Struthio camelus: one gene and its partners. The protein of the gene in region 3 interacts with the protein of the main gene of each other region in a pairwise test. Links are inferred from orthologs where the notes say so. Each region holds a gene or a part of one and is shown on either strand. Other genes may lie near its edges.

Region 1 (7,823 bases), on a different chromosome or scaffold from region 3:
CATATGATCATGCTAATATTTTAGTCACTAAAAAAAATCACATTTGAATTATTTCCGATTAATAGAATGAATGAAGATCATCCTTAGTGTTAGTAGCAGCCTTATTGTGATTGATTCTTTTATCTTAATTGCTAAGGCTTTCAAATCTAGGTAAACATTCTGGATTACTACAGAAGAGGCCTGCCTTTCAGGCCATGGTAAATCCCTGTTATCTTCAAATCTTGATTGTTCTAGCCTGCCTCTTACCCTGTGGACGTTATTCTTTTAAAAATCCAATGTTACCTTTGTACTACTCCACGAGTAGTTAACAGAGTTTCCAGAGCCTTGACAGGAACACCAGTATTCAATGTTTCCTGTAGATCTCGTTCTGGACCACAGCAGTCTGGCACTCTGCTGTATTTCTTTTTAGCATTCATATTGCTGTTGTTGTCCTTCCCTCATTCTCTCCCTACATGTTCAATAGCAACTATACTATCAGCTTCTGTTGTCCATGACAAACAGTAAACTAAAGAGAATAGAATTTTCTGTTGCTGTGAAGATTCCTTCTGCTCTTCCTGGTTTCGCTATATAGGAATAGACCATACATTTCCAGAAGTCCTGTCAATTCCTTTCTGTTTGCTGCTATTGTAGTCTCGAGTTCTTTTGCTAGCTTGCTAGCTATTCTACAGAGGTATTGGAGAATACCTTTTCAGTTGACTCCTCTTTAGCTTAGTGTTTCTGTATTTAATAATTGGCCCCTTCCCTTCTGCTTTTCAATTTCATCTTCTAAGATGATATCCTGCTGTTACTTGAAATAGCTGGGAACTGGACTCTATCAAGCCAACAGATCTTATGTTCCTAAATGCAGCGCATCCATTAAGACATAATGTCAATCAGAAAAAAGGAAAAAACCCACAAGAAATTAAAAGCTTTTGACTCCACTTACTGAACAGTCCCTAGTGCTCTTGAGTGGTGTGGTTTGTAGACAGAGTTTCTGCAGCATCTGCTTTCGTAGTACTGACACGCTGAGTTCTCCCCACCACAGCAGTAGTATTTACAGTCTGGGTCATTTGAACAAGAGCAGCAGCACCACCAGCAATTTGCATGCTCTGCACATGAGCAGTGGCAACACTGGCAGGGTGCATCTTCTGCATACGGACATGGGAAACAGCTGCAGTTCCGCTCATTGGTAAATAAGAAGCGCCAGCACAAACAGCATCCTTCGCTTCTGCTGTGGCAAGTCAGGTAACAGCAGCAGCAGTTTGAGCAGCATGGGTGGATTAAACAGGGACGTTCACTTTTGGCCATCACTCTATCAGACACTTAGAAGAAAGTTCATTAATCTTCTCAGCTTCTCCTCACACTACAGCTTTACAGCAATTTGGCTCTCAAGAAGGCTTGCGGTTTGATTGTTGGGTCAAGCTCCGTGCTGTGAAAACGTTCTAATGTCCTGTTCTAACTGGAACAGAATAAGGATGTCACAGTGACACATTCAAATAAGGACACAGGCAGAATCTCACACACATAGAGCTGACACACTGATGGCATCATCTGTACATCACAGTAACTATAATCATTCTTCCTGAATTTCTTGAAAACATCTACCTCATTCTCCATTAATCGCATAGGCAGCTTACACACCTAGATATCCTAAGGCAACCATGTTCTTAAGACAACACACTTACTTTATAGACATTTCATTGGCTAAGTTGGGTGCCATAAGTGAATGACCTGAATCAGGCCCTAATCAGCTATAGTGAGATTTTTCATCAAACCTTCATAAGACGTTAAGCATAACACATGAAAGAACTAAGATTCATGCATCTGGAAGCATTTCCCTGTAACTGTCCTTATTATAAGCCTTTGTTTGCCAGCGTTTGTGCTCTTGAACAATGTATGCCGTTCGTTCCCTCAAGGCCTAAGGAAAGGAACTAAACTTGGGTTGTAGGTTCAGTACTATTGCTCATTCACTGTGGACCTGCCTTCTTTCCTGAAGTCCAAGTGTGTTTCCTGTCCTTCCTTAAACTCACCACTCTCCTGTAAGTGCCCCACTCTCCTATAAATGCAATATTAGACATCATATTTTAGTTATTCTTTAGTTACCTCATATTAAGCACCTTCTGCCTTAATTTAGGTGACCTACTCCAAGATTTAAATAGCATTTTATATCTGTTTACAGGGATAATAATTTTGAATAAAAATTAAGTTATTGTAAAGTATGTATAAGCTTCTCAGTATGCTAGTAGCTTACTGTAATGCAGATATATAAAAAAAGAAAATCCATCCTCTAGGAGTCACCTGTGACAGACAGCTAAAACAGCTTATTCTCTTACTTGAAACTGTAAAGAATAGTGGTGTCTATATGGTACATTTTCAAGAATACTTACTTTTAATTGTGGCCTCTGTACTGTAGGTTGCTAAGAGCTTCTTTAGCAAATCAGCTTGTGTTAATGGGTTAATGTATAACTGTGAGTTACTAAGATAGGTCTTGACATAGTTTATTGTAACAGCTCCTCTGAGCCTCTTTGCTCAGTCTGTTCTGCCTAGAGAAATTTTAATTCACTGATCCAGAGCCCTATGGACCATAATGGCTGTGTCATTATGGGTAGCTATTTACATGATGGGCCATAATAGGTCCTTTGGAATGGTTATGCCTATTGTGTCAAGGGGGTTTTCATGCATAAGCACTAGATCTGTGCGCTAAAATTCTTTCCATAGTAAAACCTGTACCTTTAGTGGATGATAGTTACTCCATTTGTCTTTCCAGTTTAATCAAAGGTAATACGCTTTTTATTTTGCATGTTTAATTTTAGAAGATGAAAACACTTTTGAATTCAATTAATCGGTAGAAAAAAAGGTATCTTGTGATGCTTGTCTGCTTTTCTTTTCCAAAATGCAAGCATTCTTATATCCTTTTTTGAGAAAGGAGAGGTGGAGGAGTAAAGAAAAAAAAAAGGAAACAGATCTTAGTCCTGTGTATCACATTTTAGATCAGAGCAAACGTTAATGGCCAAGTTTTAGCAGCTGGTGCCTATGGCTCTCTTTTCCATCTCTACACAATGCAGCTGTTCAGAGTACCTTCTTCATCTATCATTCTGAGCAACACCTTTTTTTTTTTTTTTAGTGTTTTTTCTATGAGTTGTGTTTTTCCACTGGGCCTTGAACTTGTTTGTCCCCACCTCCCCATATAATTCCCGTAGCTTTAGTGGTCAAATTCTTGCGTTAGCAAAACTACTCTCACCATCGGCCTCATTCCTTTGCAGCTCCCAGTATAGGTGACCCTCTCTGAGTCTATCTATGAACGTGCAGACAGTTCTGAAATGATCCCATTTCATTAGTATGTTTATTCTCCTCTAACAGATACTGAAAGATCAAATCAGTCTGGCTGCCAGAGAAACTGAATTAGATGCAACAGCTGCAGCCAAACTGACGGACTTTTAATAGTGTTTGCAAACATGCTCCCCTCTGCCCCCACCTCTGTTGTGGTTGGGTCTGGCTGTCATTTTCATCACAGTTCTCAAGACAGCCAGGCTCAGATGTGGTTGGCTTCATCAACAAACGAGCCTGACCCTGCAAGGTGTTGAGTCTCTTAGGCCTTGTTATGATATATGGCCATTACCCTAGTGCTCAAGGAAAGCCAAGAAGAGAGAGAGAAATAAAAAAGGAAAAAGAAAAGCACAGTACGGTGAAGACACAGGTCAGTTTCCATTACTTCATATTAGTTACATATAGTCACTTGTGTTGTACTTCCGTTAGCTGTCAAATAATATAATCTAATATTTTTCACTTGGCAGCTTATCCTATTTAGTTGTGTTTTTCAAGATAAGCCTAAGATTGTTGTCTTTTTTTTCTTTCTTCTCCCTTTTGCTCTACCTCCAGATATCTCTGTGATATTTCTAACGTTAGTATTTCTAACTCAAATTCTAGAATGCACAATGATTAGTAATGTACAAAAAGTTGGAAGAAAGACCATATGCCATTTGTAGCTTACTCCTTAACTAGTGTGTATAGTAACACACTATGATATGAATCTGGGTTTCATCGGTTGTCTCCTTCTCACCTGAGAACTGGATTGTGTATAGCATCTTCTTAGACTTTTATTCACTGGAGAGGAGAACAGACGTGAATATGTGTATTGCTCCATCATTGGTGGAAAATAATAATGAAATGTCATGGACACGTTCCTCACCACTCACATTTCAGGTATCAGCGGGTTTGTTAAGGTCTTAGTTGTGTTTTGTCACTACAATGAAGGGGAAAGCTAGGTTCTCCTGTATTACCCCAACCCTATCTTTAACGTCCTGAATGTAATTTCTCTGTTAAATTATTTATTCCTCTTACGATGAGTATGGTGAGGCACCTCATGTCTGTGCTCTTAGTAAGCTTATTGTCTTGCAGTTCTTCGTCCTTTCACCAACTCAAAAAATAAGGGAGAATGAAGGAAACCTGTCTCTTGCTTGCATCCTTACTTCACGCAAGAATATAAAGTAAGCACTGTCTCAGCAACTTGGAAAATTTAACTTTGGCTGCCTTCACGCACTGCCAGAGAGGTAAAGCAAGCTCGTGAGTCAGGGAGAGGAGGAAGAGGGACTGCTACCTTACTGTCCTTCCTATAAAACTATGTAGCCCAGCAGGATTCTCTCTCTAAAGGGTATAGCAGCTCTTTATCAATAAAATGAAGTGATTGAGGTGAATTGACTGCAGCACATGGCAATGTCTGCTTTGGGGGTCTTAAAGAATGAAATATAAAAAGCCTGACGTTATACACCCTAAAACGGAGGCACTCAGAACTGAGAGTCACTTCTCAAAGCATTATTTCTGGTTAGCTGTGGCTTTGCCCGCAGCAACCAGCAACAGAATGGCAAAAAGACTGTCCCTTTTCTCGTAAGAAGACTCCCAGTTTCTAGTTCATTGTTTCCAGCATCACTTTACAACAGGTATATCTGTTAGAGGGCAATTCCCTAGTGATGGGACAGCCTAGGAAATAGTGGGGTTTACAGTATTAGCTTTTTTCTTGCTTTGTAGAGCTTCATTGCCTCTCCATAATTCAACCCTTCATCTCTAGCCAAATGGCTACCCTTATGTTCCAAGCCACAGAAATATTTGGATGGCTTCTTTTGAAAAAGGCAGAGTTGAAATATTAATCTCTCCACAGTTGCTCTCTGCCTTTCTTCAGCAGAAAATTTGAGAGGGCTCAGCTGCTATGGAGGCAGACCGGTGACAGCAGCTAGACCAGAGATGGGGGATGATGAGACAAAAAGATTAGCAGCCAGTAAAGCAAGAGAGTACATTGTGAGCTTTAGGCTCCTTCATCGCTCTAAAGCTGTGTAAGTATACCACGCTGAGCTCCATATGCCTATGGATAAAGAAGACAGAGGAAAAATGATGATAAATTTTCCTTCTACTGCTTTTTGCTAATGGATACAAGAAAGCATTATTTGATTTATGTATGTAGGACTACTCCATGGAAAAGGTAATACTAATGTACATCTAACAGTCATTCAAACTCTCTTTGACTTCAAAAGTGTTTCTGAATACTACACACTACAAAAATTACAAATGTTAGGATTGACTGGCAATGCGAAATACAGTATCTGCGGAGTACATTATCTGAGCCAGAGGGAAAACTAACAACAACGCCAGAGAAAAGGAATTGCTAATGACTTTTTGTGTTCTTCATTAAAAAGATTAACTGTGATCATGTAGTAACACAATTAACACCCGCAACATATAGTTACCAACTATGTAGAGTAAAATAAGAGAACAACAAGCTATGTTACTCTTAAGTAAATCTGTGTTTTCAAATTCTCTGGGCCTTATAAAATTCACCAAAGGAATAAAAAGAAGTATCTGGAATAATCAGAGGGCATTTAGGAGTTATTTTTAAGACTTCATGAAAAACATTGGAAAAGAAATTTAGAAGAAAATTAAGAATTTTAATTTTGGTATGTATGTAACATGCTGCTCAAAACAGATGCATTTCCCACAGACCAAGAACTTTCCAGTGATGCTGCGCCAGAGAAATAGTAGCATTTTATACCCCTTTGCACAGATCTCAGAGGTATACAGTGAAACGCTACAAAATGCTCCAGAGGATGTGTTTGTCATAGATGTTAAGAAACTGTAATAACATGCCGTTACTGCGGGTCAGCATGCATGGTCTTTCCCAACTCATTTCTTAGTCCTGTTACGTGCAGGCCTCTTGGCTTTATGTGTTAACAGTCACAACGTGAGGCCTGTCATTCGGTGGAACAAATGAAAGTTCAGGCATTTCACAGAATGACTGGAAATACTAGGTATGTATTATGCGTATCATTCAGTCCCTGCTCTCACAAGCAGACAGGGCATTAGTGGCAGCTGTTGCATTTATTTCTCGAACTGTGCACCACAGTGTCTGTCATGTCGGGGGTCTCCTGGGCAGGCCCTCGGGACTGGCCCGCCACGCAGGGGCAGTGTGGGGACCTCAGGCACCCCAACTGGCGCGCTCACCCGGCTGGCGGGTCCCCACCACAGCCCCCTGGCCGGGTCTCGAGAGGAGAGGTCTCGGAGCGCTTGGGGGACGGCAATTTTAGGGCTGCGCTAAATATCCCAGCACATCTCAGGAAAGGTACGGGCCTCATTGCCTCTCTGAGAGGGGCACAAGGTGGTCACAGCGCCACGAGGTCGTTCAGGCGGGCGCTTCGCCGTGCCCTGGGGCCGCCGGTCGCCGAGGCAACGGGGCGGCCGTTGGGCTCGCGAGCGGGCGGGACGGGGCGGCCGTTGGGCGCGCGCGGTGGGGGGGACGGGGCGGCCGTTGGGCGCGCGCGGCGGGGGGGACGGGGCGGCCGTTGGGCTCGCGAGCGGGCGGGACGGGGCGGCCGTTGGGCGCGCGCGGTGCTGGGGACGGGGCGGCCGTTGGGCGCGCGCGGTGGGGGGGACGGGGCGGCCGTTGGGCTCGCGAGCGGGCGGGACGGGGCGGCCGTTGGGCGCGCGCGGTGCTGGGGACGGGGCGGCCGTTGGGCGCGCGCGGTGGGGGGGACGGGGCGGCCGTTGGGCCCGCGGGCGAGCCGCCTGCTGCTGCGCGGATCGGAGTGTCTGAAATTTGGTCTCATCGTTCAGTTTTCGTCCTCTCTCCTTCTGGTAAGTTGGAGCGGCTGTCTGACTTTTGGGTATCGCAGCCTCGAGCCCCGTCTCCCCTTTCCCCTGTCGGTTTGGCTCCTAGCGTGCGCTTCGTCGCGGCCACCCCCGGGTTGCCCGAGCTCGGTGCGTCTTCGTTACCGTTTTGGCTCGCTCGAAGTTCCCTGCTGTTTGCTCTGCCTCGGCCGTTTTTCCTGGGGCTGTGACTTTTTTCGAGCTGGGCTGGTTCCCAGAGTAAGGATGTTCATCTCCTAACGGTGGGGTGGGTCTGTGTTGCTGCTGAGACTGCAGAAGAGAAACACAACCATCTTGGCTGAGTACTTTAGCTAGCAGAAATGTAGCAGCTGCAAACCAAGGAATTTAAAAATAAAGGCCATGATACATTAAAACGTGCCGGACTTTGCTGTGTAAAGGTGCTGTATAAAATACTTTATATGATTACTAATCAGTCAAACTTAGTGCTTATTTAAAGCAAATTTGCCTTTTCTGGTGCAAGAGCATAAATGGATAGTAACCAACCTTGTTAATTCCCAGTGTTTTCCCTGGTCGTTAGTGATTAGGTAATTTGGTGATCAGGCACTTGCCCTGTGCTTCAGGGAGCTGTCCCTGTTAGCATATCTGCTTTCCTGACCATAGCACGCAGCGTCTGCCTCACTTTTTAGCCTATTTTTCATTCTTGTATTGGTTCTCCGCTGCACGTCCTGATGACTCTCCTGATTAGTCTGGCT
Region 2 (8,021 bases), on a different chromosome or scaffold from region 3:
CTGCTTCTGCTTACAGCCCTTTAGCTAACCTAAAGAAAACACAGGAAGAACAATGGCTACTGCTATTTCTGTAATGAAGTTTTTAAGTGTGCATTTATTTTGCCATTTTTTTCTCAGTAAAAAAAAAAAAGGTAAAAAAAATAGTAAATATAGGTTTGCTATTGTATAATTTACTTTTCAAGCAGTTGCATGTATTTCTTAGTGATGGTTGCCTTTTCTGTGTGCATAGAGGTCTGGAACACTGAAAACAGTGTTACAGAGATGTTTTTCAGTGGAACATCCAAAAAGGGCCCAAGAGATCTAAGCACCCAGTTTCTAAAAACCCTAGCTAGCCAGTGCTTCTTTCTTTTATCTCTGTGTTGCTCCCTCCCCTTCCCCAGTATTTTGGCTTAGATGGCTGCTAACTCTCAAGGCAACCTTTTCCACCCCCCTGTTCCTCCCATGATCTCCAAGGGAAAACCAGCAAATCCTTCTAAGCCCAGGGGAAAAAAATTAGAGCTTTGGCTGCATGCAGTGGAGTTCAAACTCTGCAAAAACACTTGTGAGACTGGCGAACCTCAAATCGCCAATCAAAGCACAAACATGTAATTCCTAACTCCAACTTTTGTTTAAAGTTGGACTACTTTCTGTTCTGCATCATATAGGAATAAATTCCCCAATTCAGTGTGTATTTGAGTGTTTCTGATGCTAATTTACATCAGTGTAAGTGAGGACTGGAATAGCTGTGTTGGGACTGTGACAATAATACCAATTGGGCTGAGGGAAACTTAAGGTATTGCTTAGATTATTTTCCGATAATAGGGTCCAGAGGCTGGAAATGGAGATCTCTTCCAGATGTCATCTTCCATGTTAAAGCAACTCGTGTGCCTGGAGGGAGCGGTCACAACAACAGCATGTATCTTTGCAAGGCAAGGCTCCAATGTCTCACCCTATTTTTTGCTGTGACATCAGAATGCTGAGGCTTTTGTCTTTGGATTGGACCACTAAAGGTATGATAGTAAAAGCTATGTGCAACACTTCTGAAGCAACTGTTGGTAGCAGTTATTAAATGCGTCTCTGCTAGTTCAGTGTCCTGCAGCTGGCTGCTCTCAAAGCTTGGCAAACTGAAAGATGGTTGGCTTCAGTAGATCACTCGGATGCCTGGCAGGCCTTCCGTGCTCCTGCTAACTTTCCCTACTTGCTTTTGTATCTGTCATCAATTCTGAGTATGAGAAGTATTGTGGTGTGGGGTTTTTTGTTTTGTTTTAATGTAGGATGGAGTATGGAAAAAGAAGAATTTTAGTCTTGGAAAATCCAGGTTAAATCTTGCTAATTGTCAAACAAAAACAACAATTGCATTGTCTCATTTTGTCTCAAGCAATTAAGAAGTCAATGAGTCTAATGAAAAAAATTAATTTTTTCTGTGTTTAAAATCTGCACCGTAATACTCTTTATTGGCTTTTATTCTAGATGTGGCATAACCTAAGCATGTTACCAGCACTGCCTTTTTATAGGGACTTCCTTTCAAAATGAGAACAGCCTTTTTAAAACGATCAGAATAGTTCTTGCCTTTAAACAGAGGAAATGCATGCAAACTAACAACCAGCATATTGCTTCAAATGCTCAGCCAGCCAGTCAGGAAAACGAAGATTCAAAGATATTGCTGAAATTAATCACTTAACTGAAAGATTAGACAGCAGTCTTTTTTGTATTCATATTTGTTTTAATATTCTGTTCTTTGAAACTTAATAGATTCTGAAGTGTCTCTAATTTTAGCCTAAATTTACAGAACAATCCCAACAGTATTTCACTACTCAGATGCTTCTTATTGTAATACGTAATTGAAGTCTGGGACTCTAAAAGGCAAAACATATTATTTCCATACAGCTTTCATGTCCAAACCATAATTTCATTGTTTTCATTTTGGGCCTTTTCTCTTCTTGCTCACACATGCGCTTTTCCTTAGCCCAGCAGGCAAGGTCTGGCAAACAGCTTCACAAAGCAATATGCCCAACAAACCTCCCTTAAAACCTGAAGCTGGATATGAAACCCTTATTTTGGGACAAAATGTATATATACAGCCAAACTTGCTCCAAACTCTTCAGGATCTGATAAAAGCATTTTCAACTTAATTTTCTTAACTTAGAAATGACTTAATTACATGCTGAATCGGGGCACTGCTCCTCAGACATCCTTCTCCCTTCCACGCTCAGAGGCCTGGTCGGTTAAACTCTGTCCCTCTGTAACAGCGCAGTCACTGTCCCACCTGCTCCACCTCTGTGGTCTGCAGATCCTGTTACTGTGCATCCCAAGAAAAGCTTTTATAATATAGCTGGTTAAACAAAAATATGTTTTAAAGCAAGGCAGAAACATAGAGAAATACACAGTCCGTTACTTACCCCACACTAAGCAAACTGTTGAGGCATTCTTGACAAGTTAATGTTTTATTTTCTTCTGTCACTTAAAGTTACCCTCTCTAATTAAAAAAAAGTGTCCTTTATCTTTGCTTTCCAAGCTGCTACACTTCTCACTTCAAGTGGGAAAAAAAAACGGAAAAAAACAAAAAAAAAAGTTTCTTGTTGGTTCATGTTACAACCTCCCAGTGTCAATCATGTAGGCTGAGACCAGGGAAGGGGTGTGGGGGGGGAAAGGCACATGCTGCCGCCTTTTAACTTGCCAGCCTGCTGTTCCTGTCCATCCTTAGCTAGCCCCAGAGCTGTAGACACTTACCTCTGTCCTGTAATGCTAGCCTCGAAGTGAAAGAACCGAAAATGAGTTCAGTCCTATTCCACAACCTCTGTGAAGCTTTGGCGGAGAAAAGGGTGAGCGCTAGATTATCAGGCACAAACATGCTCCAACTGCCATCTTCGTTCCAACCGCTTAATTTTGCTGCTTTTTTTTTTTCTTCTCTAAAACAGGAAATGTATAAGCCACAGTGCCTAACCCTGGTTCCTGTCTCTGCTCTGAGTTTGTAGCATAGGAGAAAATGCTGCTAGGTGCAAGGCAGTGCTGGGGCCTGGCTCAGTATGAGATTTGGGTTATGTTGTGATGCGAGAGGCTGCAATTTCACTGTTAGGGCCAGCAACTACCTTCTGGGCTATCTTTCTTTATCAGTCTCTGACACTCTGAGGTTGAGTGCTGGTGCAAGGAGTTGTTTGTGGCGCATCGTGACTGAATCTTTCCAAGCTGCTTTGAGTAAAGAATGCAGACTTAGGGAAGTACAGTAATGCTATTATTTTAAGGCTTCTTGTAGATTGGAAAAAGTGTATTTTAGCAGCTGAGGAAAGGTCACGAATGGCAGAAATTCATCAAGGTCTTTACAGAGAAGTGAAAGCTGTGTTAATGCAAATCATGTAGAGAGGTTGGTTTAACCAGCTGTGCACTGGTAAAGGTTGTTTGTATATTCATGTGGAAGAGGAGCAACAATAAAAGTATATTATAAAGTAATATGAGATTTCTTTTCTAAAGACCAACCTAGAATGGGTACATGACCAAAAAAATCCAATTCAAAGACCCTCTTGTATAGCTTTGTCTGTGAGGTTCATGCAGTTCAGCCTAAATCCCTATTTGGAATGAACTGAGGCCCCTTTCCCCTTTGCTTATTAACCATGTGGCTCCCCTTTATAATCCTGTTCCCCATGCCCCCAATCTAAATCTTTTTTGTTAATTTTTTAATATAGCTTTGACCAGGTCACTAAGGTATTAAATTTTTCAGTCAAGCTCCTATGAGTCTCCTTGTCTTTCCTGCAGAAACACTGGAGTATGGCTTGTGGGTTCAGCTCTCTTTCACGTTAATTGCCTTTTACTTAATCTCTTCTTCTGTGACAGGGATGTGATAAAATGAAGGGAAAATATACGGCAAAAGCATATACAAATATCAGAAGGCCCAGGATCCTAGTTTGTATACTTCTCAAAACATTTTAAGTTTTAATGACTTGCAGGTTTTCTAGTGAGGGAATAGTTTCTAGACGTTGAACTGCAGTAAGGCACAAAGCTTAACTTTATTCAGGCTGGAGTGGCCAGCTGCCAGCAGAGAAAATCCACTGATAGGGAAATTCTGCTGTCAGTACACTTTTCTGAATTGTTTATTGATCAGAAAAAGCTAGTTACAAGAATTTGTTACTAAAACAGACATTTGCATGCTGTGTCATAGATTTCTGATATGCCTTCTCTTAAATTGACAGCTTTGAGGAGGCCCTGTGTTCCCCGGCCATGTTGCTTTCAGAAAAGGTCCATGCGCAACATCATAGGGCGGGATTTTTTTTTTTTTAAACATCTGTATGAGTGGGGACACAACTGCTCAGATGTATCACTGTGAAGCCACTCTGGTGACATAGCAAACAGCACCCAGAATAGCTGGATTAATACCAAAATCGTGTGTCCTGCACAATGTTCCGCTGTGTTCCTGTGGCCTCATGCTGACATGCTTGCTGCCTTAGGAGGATCCACTGTGTCCTATAGCTACTTTTTTTTGATATTTTCCACTTTAAACTTGTTTCTTATGAGAGAATCAAGGAAGTCTGGAGCCCAGTCTCGAAGGAAGAGCAGACTCCTCATGGTTGAGTATGGATAGTATAGCTCTCGCTGGCGCAGTGCTCCGCTCTTGATGATCTCCAGCGCGCACTCCTCCTTTGGTGCGGCTGTCCCACGAATCGCATGGGGAATGGTTTTCATAGCACTTTCTAGAGAGAGGAGAGCAAGAAAAAGTGATGTCAGATGGAGGGAGGCTGCAACAGGTACTAGAGGCTCAAAGTTCAGAGGTATCCATGGCTTCATTTAACAAACTAATAGAAATGCTGGGGATCAGGTTTATTTCCTAAAGTTTAGAATATGTACAAAATTACAGTAATATCCTTCCCATGCCTTTCCAACTCTCAACTAATTCTAGAACCAAATCCCCATCTCCCCTGAGTTTATTACAAGGATAGTTGAGTCAAAGGTCTGGGACCGCTTTTTTTTTTTTTTTTTTTTTTTTTTTTTTTTTAAATGTTGAGCTCCTGTTTCCAAAATTGTGCCGCCACTTAAGGGCTGAGGTTTCAGCAGTGCTGGGGAAGTAGAATACTGGCAGATCTGGAGTGCTTTCTTCTGTCTAAAATGCCTTTTCTGACTTAGCAATGGGTGTGCACAGCTCCTAAATAGTGAGGCCTAGATAAATGTCAAACTTACCAGTATCAATGAGGCCCAGGACACAGAGTGTGATGGAAACATTGACATTGTCAGTGATGAATTCCTGTCGCAAGGAGCTGAAAAATCCATCTAAGGCAAACTTGGTTGCAGAATAGGGAGCAATAAATGGTATGCCAACTTTACCTGGGATGGGAGGCAGAACGTCAGTGTTCACATATTGCACCAGAGTACTGTCCTTGGAGTAGCTAAAATATTTAGATTTAGAGTGACTAAGTGATCTATTCTGAGTACTTGAGAGAAATAAATATATGAAAGGATGTTTAAAATGAGGAGGAGAGAAACAAAAGTTTTCCTAACTTAATTTTCCTGTAGCATGTGACATATAGTGACATGAAGTACATTCAGTTGTAGGTGATACTGTTCTTCCGTTCCTGCATTACGCATCCATGTGTAGCAAATGCATAATAAATGGCCATGCACATAAATAACATGCAGTGGCATACCATCAACTGTAATGCATAGTATTTTTCTTAGTTTGAAAGTTAGATTTAATGCTGAAGGTATGCTGCTGTGATAGGCCCATCAGTTTTGTGTAGTCCTTGGCCTTTATCAGAGAATGCTTTCAAGGCAGGTTTTGTTGCTTTGATGTTAAGAAAGAACCGACGTATAACATCTGTCTTCAGCATTTGCTATCGCTGCTTAGCAAGATGTGGGTTTTAGCAGCCCCTCCCTGAACTTCCTGTCTCTGGGCTTAGAGGTACAGCTCCAGCTGTGCACCCTTCATGGATGCCTGTGGAGCTGCAGGAAAGAGAGATGACTTGCATAGTTTTTAATCTTCTCATCCCAGGTTTTGGCAGGAAGTTCAGCTAACTGCAAACATAGGACCTCAGGAGTGTGTATCCCTCCTTCATGGAGAAGACAGTGGGTAGGTTGAGGAAGAATGGGGTGTAAACTATAAGTTTTCCAGATGACTTAACTTGCACACTGGGTGCACAATATATACAGATTCCAATCCCAGCCAGATAACTTCCTGCCTTATGGTCCTTATTCCCTCCTTTGAGGAAAAGCTGCAGATGGGATCCCTTGCAGGCAGTGGAAGAGGCTTAAAATCGGAGAAGAGCGTGGCACTGGCTGCCCTGGGACTCCCTAGCCTGTCTCGTGCTCACCTGCCATGGATGAAACGACAACAATGCTGCCATTGCTGCTCTTTAGCATTGGTAGGGCAGAAACAGTCATGGCCACGTAGCTGAGGAAGTTGGTCTCTAGGAGCTTTCGTATGTGTCCGACATCCCCATTGAAGTAATTGAGATAGCTGTGACCGACGTGGTTTAAGATAACCATGTCAAGGCCTCCTGGAAGCAGAACATGTTTGTTATGGGCAACTTGCATCCTCAAAACAAAAGCCTTTACTTGTTGGCTAGAACACCTTGAAACATAACTTGAGCAAGGGGGGTGTTGGAGGTTAATGAGGAAAAGGCAGATCCCACCACATACCCCAGGCTGTCTCAGCCTCTTTCACCACCTCCTTGGCAAATGCTGTTTTCTCCATGCTGCCACTCACATAGCGAGCAGATGCTGCACCCAGCTTGAGGCAACGCTCCACAACCTGTGACGGCAGTGAGAACAGTGTTAGACACAGGTACTCCTGTGTCAGCTCCCAGCATCCTGCAAATGCTGTAAGCTGTCTTTTGGGCCAGATAGGAAGAGCATGTCTTTCTGCCCATTGGTAACTGTTTTGACTTCATGGGAGGAGATGTATTGCTCATATAATTGTTTCTGGCTGCAATGAGTTAAACAGTGGCACATCTGAGCCAAATATTTAGTGTTTATAGAAGATACTGAAAAGGGATATGACTGCTTAGTTGATTCTGTTGCATACTGGGAACCAAAACAATTCAGACTTTGACAACCATAAGGGTTGATCAGACCAAGATCTGGGCAGCCTAGTATTGTCCTTGGTGGTGATCAGCGTCTAAAACTGCAGACTGTGGAGAAAAATGCTGTGCTGTCAGCATTGAAAATACAATCTAAAATGGTGTGAGGAGTTCCCCAGGTTCATGCTGGGGAAAATGGAACAGCGAATCTCTATGGTATCTGGCATCCTCATGTGCTCTGGATAGGGTGAACATCCATGCACTTTTTACCTGTGGGATTCTGGATTGTAAAACTTAGTCTACTTGATGTTATGGTGGCTGGGCACCTTGGGAGTGCTCTGTTTTGCATTTACTTTCTGCAACTTGGCCTCCGTCCGTGCTGTGATCAGGATATGGGACCTCATGCGTGCCAGGTGATAAGCCATCTGCTCTCCGATTCCACTGCTGGCGCCTGTGATGATGACCCGTTTCCCTCTGAGCATCTCTAGAGAGTAGGACACAGCATCAGACCCCTAGTGCAGGCCCATGCTGTGCCTGGCAGCCCCATGAGCCAGAGTGTTAGTTCTCCAAAGCCCTTGAGAGCAGAGTCTCCTCTCAGCCTATTTCACCTTTGTTCCCAGATAAAGGGATCAGGGAAGCTACACGCAGAAACACTGCACTACTGTAACATGCAGCTGCTCTCACAAACCCAGAGTGGAATTTGCTCCTTAATCCTTGTCTGAACTGGAGTGCACGAGAGATCTAAGCTCTGCGGTCCATTCTGTGAGTAAATTTAAAAGATGACTAGGGTTTGACTAAGGAAAGGATTAAACATTTAAAATGGATAAATGCATATTTTCAGACAAATTCATTTGCTGAAATCAAACACTTACCATGTGATCCTAGCAGAGCCCAACCGAAATCCTGTGAGTTTCTCCTAGATGGTGCAGCATGCTCTGAACAGTTGCACTGTGCTATTGCCTTTGCCAAAATTCCCCTTGACAAGCTCTCATCCATCCTTTGTATTAGGAGGTTTACCAGCTGCATTTTGAAAGGACCATC
Region 3 (7,260 bases):
GCCCCCCCGGACCCCCCAGACCCCCCCAGCCCCACTCACCCTCCTCCGGGCCCTGGTACGACTCCTGCATGAAGGTCTCCGAGGAGCCGGGGTCTGGGGGGACACAGCGTCACTGGGGGGAGTGGTGTCCCCCCGGGAGCCCCATTGCCCCCCCGGGGTCCCTTTGGCCCCCCAGGGGCCCCTCAGGACCCCCTGCCCCCCAACACCCCCCAGGGACCTGCACAGTCCCCCCAGGATCCTCTGGCTCCCTGTGGCCCCCCCAAGACCCCAGTTGCCCCCCTGGGACCCCACTGCCTCCCTGGGGTCCCGGAGCCCCCCCATGGCCCCCCCACAGCTCCCTGGGGTCCCTCCCCACCTCTCCGTGGCCCCCCCAGCCCCCTGGGACCCCCCAAGACCCCAGTTACCCCCCTGCGGTCCCCCAGCGCCCCAGGACCCCACTGCCCCCCTGGGCTCCCGGAGCCCCCCAGGGTGCCCCACGCCCCCCCCCGGTTGCCCCAGCCCCCCAGGACCCCCCCACTCACCGCCGCCCCCCACGCGGCTCCGCTGCGTCTCGTACTCGTAGACCTTCTTCTCGTACAGCTTCCGCGTGGAGCCTGGGGGGCCGGGGCGGGGGGTCAGGACCCCTGGGACCCCCTGCCCCACGGCACCCCCCACGGCCAGGAGCCCCATCGCAGGAGCCCCCCGGCCCCCCCCCCGGACGCCCGGCCCCCCCACCCCGCGCCCCCCGCGCCCCGGCCCGCACCCACGACGGGGCCGTGCGGGATGCGGCAGCTCTTGAGCTTCTCCAGCAGCTCCTTGTCCGTGAGGCCCCGGTAGCTCTGCATGGCCTGGGGGGACACGGGGACGTGGGGGGACACGGGGACGTGGGGGACACACGGGGGGACACGGGGACGTGGGGGACACACGGGGGGACACGCAGGGGGACACGGGGACGCGGGGGGACACACGGGGGGATACGGGGATGTGGGGACACGCGGGGGGACACGGGGACGTGGGGGGACACGCGGGGGGACACGCGGGGGGACACGGGGACGCGGGGGACACGCGGGGGGACACGGGGACGGGGGGACACGTGGGGGGACACGGGGACGTGGGGGACACGTGGGGGGACACGGGGATGTGGGGACACGCGGGGGGATAAGGGGATGTGGGGACACGGGGGGACACGGGGACGGGGGACGCGGGGGGACACGGGGACGTGGGGACACGCGGGGGGACACGGGGACGTGGGGGACACACGGGGGGACACGCGGGGGGACACGGGGACGCGGGGGGACACACGGGGGGATACGGGGATGTGGGGACACGCGGGGGGACACGGGGACGTGGGGGGACACGCGGGGGGACACGGGGACGGGGGGACACGCGGGGGGATAAGGGGATGTGGGGACACGCGGGGGGACACGGGGACGTGGGGGACATGCGGGGGGACACGGGGATGTGGGGACACGCGGGGGGACACGGGGACGTGGGGGACACGCGGGGGGACACGCGGGGGGACACGGGGATGTGGGGACGCGGGGGGACACGGGGACGGGGGGACGCGGGGGGACACGGGGATGTGGGGACACATGGGGGGACACGTGGGGGGACACGGGGGCGGGGGACACATGGATGTGGGGACACGCGGAGGGGACATGCGGGGGGACACAGGTATGTAAGGACATGGGGACGTAGGGACACACGAGGTGACCCACGAGGGGGACACGGGGATGGGGGGACACGGGGATGTGGGGACGCGCAGGGGGACGTGGGGGGACATGGAGATGTGGGGACACCGGGGGGACGTGGGGGGACACGGGGATGGGGGGACACGCGGGGGGGATGTGGGGGGACACGGGGACACGCGGGGGGACGGGCGCGGAGCAGGCTGCGGGACGGGGACGGGGGGCGGCTGGCGGGACAGGGAAGGGGACAGGGACAGGGGCCCCCCCGGGGCTATGGGGCAGGGATGTGGGGGACGTGGGGGGAGAGGGGGCCATGCTGCAGCTATGGGGCAGGGACATGAGGGGACACAGGCCCCCCTCGGGGCTATGGGGCAGGGACATGAGGGGACATGGGGCCACCCTGGAGCTATGGGACAGGGCCACGGGGCCACCCGGGGCTATGGGGCAGGGACATGAGGGGACATGGGGAGACATGGGCCCCCCCGGGGCTATGGGGCAGGGCAGTGGGGGGACAGGGGCCCCCGGGGCTATGGGGCAGGGCCGTGGGGCTCCCCGGGGCTATGGGGCAGGGCCGTGGGGGGACAGGGGCCCCCGGGGCTACGGGGCAGGGCCGTGGGGCTCCCCGGGGCTATGGGGCAGGGCCGTGGGGGGACAGGGGCCCCCGGGGCTATGGGACAGGGCCGTGGGGCTCCCCGGGGCTATGGGGCAGGGCCGTGGGGGGACAGGGGCCCCCGGGGCTATGGGGCAGGGCCGTGGGGCTCCCCGGGGCTATGGGGCAGGGCCGTGGGGGGACAGGGGCCCCCGGAGCTATGGGGCAGGGCCGTGGGGCTCCCCGGGGCTATGGGGCAGGGCCGTGGGGGGACAGGGGCCCCCGGGGCTATGGGGCAGGGCCGTGGGGCTCCCCGGGGCTATGGGGCAGGGCAGTGGGGGGACAGGGGCCCCCGGGGCTATGGGGCAGGGCCGTGGGGCCCCCCGGGCTATGGGGCAGGGCCGTGGGGGGACAGGGCCCCCCGGGGCTATGGGGCAGGGCCGTGGGGCTCCCCGGGGCTATGGGGCAGGGCCGTGGGGGGACAGGGCCCCCGGGGCTATGGGGCAGGGCCGTGGGGCTCCCTGGGGCTATGGGGCAGGGCCGTGGGGGGACAGGGGCCCCCGGGGCTATGGGGCAGGGCCGTGGGGCTCCCCGGGGCTATGGGGCAGGGCCGTGGGGGGACAGGGCCCCCGGGGCTATGGGGCAGGGCCGTGGGGGGACGGGGCCCCCCGGGGCTATGGGGCAGGGCCGTGGGGCCCCCCGAGGGCCGGGCCCGGCGCCGCTCGGGGGTCCCGGTACCTCGCTCCTGCGTCCAGGCCGCGCGCGCGAAGGGAAGTGACTCAGGGGGGCGGGGCCAGCGCGCGGGGGGCGGGGCCAGCTCGAGCGGGGGCGGGGTCAGCTCGAGCGGGGGGCGGGGTCAGCTCGAGCGGGGGGCGGGGTCAGCCCGCCAGGCCGCGGACAGGACGCCGGGGGCGGGGCCAAACCTATCGGGGGCGTGGCCAAGCCCACCAAGGGGCGTGCTCTCAGCGGGGCCACGCCCCTCCGGGCCCACCCGGCGCTATGGGGCAGCCCCCTCTCCCCCACATATATAGGGCAGGGCCCGGACGCCTGGGCCCATTCGGGGTGAGGAGGACGGGAGGCTCCCGGACGCCTGGGCTCCTGCCGGGCGGGGGCCCCGGCCCCCCCCCCCAGCCCAGCCCCACACGTGTGGGGCAGACCCCCCCCAAGGAGGACGCGGGCCGGGCTCGTTTCTCCTCGTTTATTCCCTCCGTGGGGCCGGCGGGTCGCGCCCCCCCCCACCCCCCCCACCCTGCCCCACGGCGGGCCGGGGGGCGCCGGGGCCCCAGACGTCACGATCACGGCACAAGACAGACACCGGGCTGGGGGGCAGGGGGGGCGGCACGGCCGTGGGGCAGGGCTGCGCGGCAGGCCACGGGGCCGTGGGGCAGGCCGTGGGGCACGGCTACGGGGCAGGCCACAGGGCAGGCCGTGGGGCAGGGTTGTGGGGCCGGCCACGAGGCTATGGCACAGGGCAAGGGGGCAGGCTGTAGGGCTATGGGGCAGGGCTATGGGGCAGGCCGTGGGGCTAAGGACAGGGCTATGGGGCAGGCCGCGGGGCTGTGGGGCAGGCTATGGGGCAGGCCCCACAGACACCATAGGTGCAGACAGAGGGGGCGGGGCCACCCCGCCCCCATAGGCCCCGCCCCCTGCCCCCCAGGGCAGCTCCTGGGCTCGGCGCCCCCTGCTGCGGGGGGGGACCTGCGGGAGAGAGGCCGTCAGTGGCACCCCGACCCACGGCGGCACCCCGACCCCCGTGGGGCACCCCAGACCCACGACGCCACCCCAGCCCCCCAAGGCTGCCCCCCATGGCACCCCAACCCCCATGGGGCACCCCCGACCCCTATGTGGGGCACCCCAGCCCCCCCCACTGTCCCCAAGACCCCTATGTGGGGCACCCCAGCCCCCCCCACTGTCCCCTAAACCCCCATGGGGGCACCCAGACCCCTATGTGGTGCACCCCAGCCCCCCCCAATGCCCCCTAAACCCCCATGGGGGCACCCCAGCCCCCCCAGGCACCCCCGACTGCCCCCCAGAGCCCTACGTGGGGCACCCCAGCCCCCCCCACTGCCCCCTAAACCCCCATGGGGGCACCCAGACCCCTATGTGGTGCACCCCAGCCCCCCCCAATGCCCCCTAAACCCCCATGGGGGCACCCCAGCCCCCCCAGGCACCCCCGACTGCCCCCCAGAGCCCTATGTGGGGCACCCCAGCTCCCCCCACTGCCCCCTAAACCCCCATGGGGGCACCCAGACCCCTACGTGGGGCACCCCAGCCCCCCCCACTGCCCCCTAAACCCCCATGGGGGCACCCCCGACCCCTATGTGGGGCACCCCAGCCCCCCCCACTGCCCCCTAAACCCCCATGGGGGCACCCCAGCCCCCCCAGGCACCCCCGACTGCCCCCCAGAGCCCTATGTGGGGCACCCCTGCCCCCCCCGCCCCCTAAACCCCCATGGGGGCACCCAGACCCCTACGTGGGGCACCCCTGCCCCCCCCACTGCCCCCTAAACCCCCATGGGGGCACCCAGACCCCTATGTAGGGCACCCCACCTCCCCCCAATGCCCCCTAAACCCCCATGGGGGCACCCAGACCCCTATGTAGGGCACCCCAGCTCCCCCCAATGCCCCCTAAACCCCCATGGGGGCACCCAGACCCCTATGTGGGGCACCCCAGCCCCCCCCAATGCCCTCTAAACCCCCATGGGGGCACCCAGACCCCTATGTGGGGCACCCCAGCCCCCCCCAATGCCCTCTAAACCCCCATGGGGGCACCCAGACCCCTACGTGGAGCACCCCAGCTCCCCCCACTGCCCCCTAAACCCCCATGGGGGCACCCCAGCCCCCCCAGGCACCCCCGACTGCCCCCCAGAGCCCTACGTGGGGCACCCCAGCGCCCCCCCCCGCAGCCCCACTCACCCTACATCTGGTTGGCGAAGGAGGTGGGGGCGCCCTGGCCGTAGCCCCCCTCGGGCTGGCCGTACCCCCCCGGCGGGCCGTAGCCCCCCTGGCCGTAGTCGGGCTGGTAGCCGCCGGGCTGCCCGTAGCCGCCCTCGGGCTGCCCGTAGCCCCCCCCGCCGGGGCCGTAGCCCTCGGGGGCCGCCTGCTTCTCGGGGGCCCCCGCGGGGGGGCCGCGGCCCCAGGGGCCCCCCCAGCCCGTCTCCTTGAACACGAACCAGATGTTGCCCGTCCACAGCACCAGGTTGAGGAAGCCGAACACCTGCGGGGGGGGCCGCGCTATAGGGGGCCGCCTATGGGGCACCGGGGGGGCTGGAGGGGGTGGGGGGGGCTGCGGGGCTGCTATAGGTCCTGGGGCTCTGCAGGAGCTCTAGGGGTGCTATAGGTCCTGGAGCACTGCTATGGGGGCCTATAGGGGTGCTATAGGTCCTGGGGGGAGCTCTATGGGGGGGCTCCAAGGGTGTTATAGACCCTGGGGGAGCACTGTGGGGGCCATAGGTCCCAAGGGTGCTACAGTGTGTGGGGGGGAGGCTGCAAGGATCCCAGGGGACCACCATGAGGGACCATAGGGGTGCTATAGGTCCCCCGGGAGCACTGTGGGGGGCTTGGGGGGGGGGCTATAGGTCCCAGGGGAGCCCGGTGGCACCATAGTGGGCTATAGGGGCACCATAGGGGTCCGTAGGGGCTCAACACGGAGGTGAGCCAGAGGTGAGCGGGGCACTGGCAACCCAGCAGGGCCATAGGGGGCTATAGGGGTCCGTAGGGGCCCATGGGGGGGTTATAGGGGTCCGTAGGGGGCTTGAGGGGCGCTATAGGGGGCTATAGGGGCTCACCACGGAGGTGTTGAGTCCAGAGGGGAGCAGGACGCTGGCAGCCCAACAGGGCCATAGGGGACGAGAGGGGTCCGTAGGGGGGCTCGAGGGGCGCTATAGGGGGCTATAGGGGCTCACCACGGAGGTGTTGAGGCCGGAGGTGAGCGGGGCGCGCAGGCCGCGGCAGCGGGCGCCGGGGCGCTGGCAGCCCGGCAGCTCGGCCAGGACGCCGGCGGGCGCCGTCGCCTCCTTGACGTCGGCCAGCGCCTTGGCCCAGGCGCAGGAGCTCACCAGCCACAGGAAGGCCAGCACCCCCGTGGCCACCAGGTCCTGCCGGCGGGGGCGCCCCTCACCACCGGCCCCCCGTGTCCCCGTGTCCCACCTCCCCCCGTCCCACGTCCTGTCCCACCTCCCCCGTGTCATGTCCCCCCCACCCCCACGTCCCCGTGCCCCCACGTCCCCGTGCCCCCACGTCCTGTCCCCCATGTCATGTCCTCTTCACTCCCCCTTGCCCTGTCCCCACATCCTCGTGCCCAGCTGCCCCATGTCCCCCATATCCTTCTGCCCCCCATCCCCATGTCCCTGTGCCCATCTCTTGTCCATGTTCCCATGCCCCATCCCCATGTCCTGCCCCACATCTTCCATGTCCCCAAGCCCCCCAGTGTCGTCCCCCCATGTCCACGTCCCCAAGCCCCCCATGTCTTGTCCCATATCCCCAAGCCCCCCCATCCCTGTGGCCCCCATGCCCATGTCCCCAAGCCCCCCGTGTCTTGTCCCCCCATGCCCCAAGCCCCCCATGCCGTGTCCCCCCCACGTCCCCCACCCTCCCGGTGCCCCCACTCACGATGACGGGCCCTTTGTTGTTCTCCCGGTACTTGCTGTCGAGGAAGAGGTAGACGCCGAGGGCGCCCAGGGCGTAGAGGAAGGCGAAGACGGCCACGGTGACGAAGAACTCGGCCGCCGATGAGTAGTCGCCCACCAGGAAGACCTTCTCCTGCCCCGCGCCCTGGCACGTGGGGGCCACGAAGTACACCTGGTGCAGCCTGCGGCACCCGCAGCGGGCTAGCGCCGGCCCCCGCCACCGGCCCCCCGCCCCCAGGGCACCCCCAGGGCACCCGCCACGCGGCCTGGGGCGGGACACGGGGACCAGCATCCTCCCCACTGCACGTAGCGTCTCCCCACATGGTCCCTATGGGCCTGGAGCTTCTCCCCAAATGGTCCCTATGGGTCTGGAGCAT

The links.
Region 1: the proteins of EMD (region 3) and TRIM42 interact in binary tests that used the Homo sapiens proteins (3 or more experiments, as listed by UniProt). The two-hybrid records come from large-scale screens. The link is inferred for Struthio camelus from reciprocal best matches to the Homo sapiens genes EMD and TRIM42.
Region 2: the proteins of EMD (region 3) and TRAF3IP3 interact in binary tests that used the Homo sapiens proteins (3 or more experiments, as listed by UniProt). The two-hybrid records come from large-scale screens. The link is inferred for Struthio camelus from reciprocal best matches to the Homo sapiens genes EMD and TRAF3IP3.

Annotation. Positions count from the first base shown.
Region 1 is NC_090950.1:10,498,180-10,506,002, reverse strand, and holds the start of TRIM42 (tripartite motif-containing protein 42), read right to left. Parts: upstream 3,074-7,823; coding exon 3,041-3,073; intron 1,255-3,040; coding exon 926-1,254; intron 1-925.
Region 2 is NC_090965.1:8,845,824-8,853,844, reverse strand, and holds the start of TRAF3IP3 (TRAF3-interacting JNK-activating modulator), read right to left. Parts: upstream 3,051-8,021; 5' UTR 2,710-3,050; intron 2,516-2,709; exon of another isoform or gene 2,379-2,515; intron 2,279-2,378; 5' UTR 2,141-2,278; intron 1-2,140. Other genes in the region: 11-beta-hydroxysteroid dehydrogenase 1, read right to left, coding at 4,441-4,661, 5,146-5,289, 6,273-6,458, 6,601-6,712, 7,307-7,464, 7,853-7,976. UniProt on the Homo sapiens protein: Adapter protein that plays essential roles in both innate and adaptive immunity. Plays a crucial role in the regulation of thymocyte development.
Region 3 is NC_090979.1:105,426-112,685, forward strand, and holds the start of EMD (emerin), read right to left. Parts: upstream 3,068-7,260; 5' UTR 2,995-3,067; intron 828-2,994; 5' UTR 825-827; coding exon 743-824; intron 594-742; coding exon 522-593; intron 94-521; coding exon 40-93; intron 1-39. Other genes in the region: SYP (synaptophysin), read right to left, coding at 5,173-5,472, 6,161-6,352, 6,867-7,065. UniProt on the Homo sapiens protein: Stabilizes and promotes the formation of a nuclear actin cortical network. Stimulates actin polymerization in vitro by binding and stabilizing the pointed end of growing filaments. Inhibits beta-catenin activity by preventing its accumulation in the nucleus.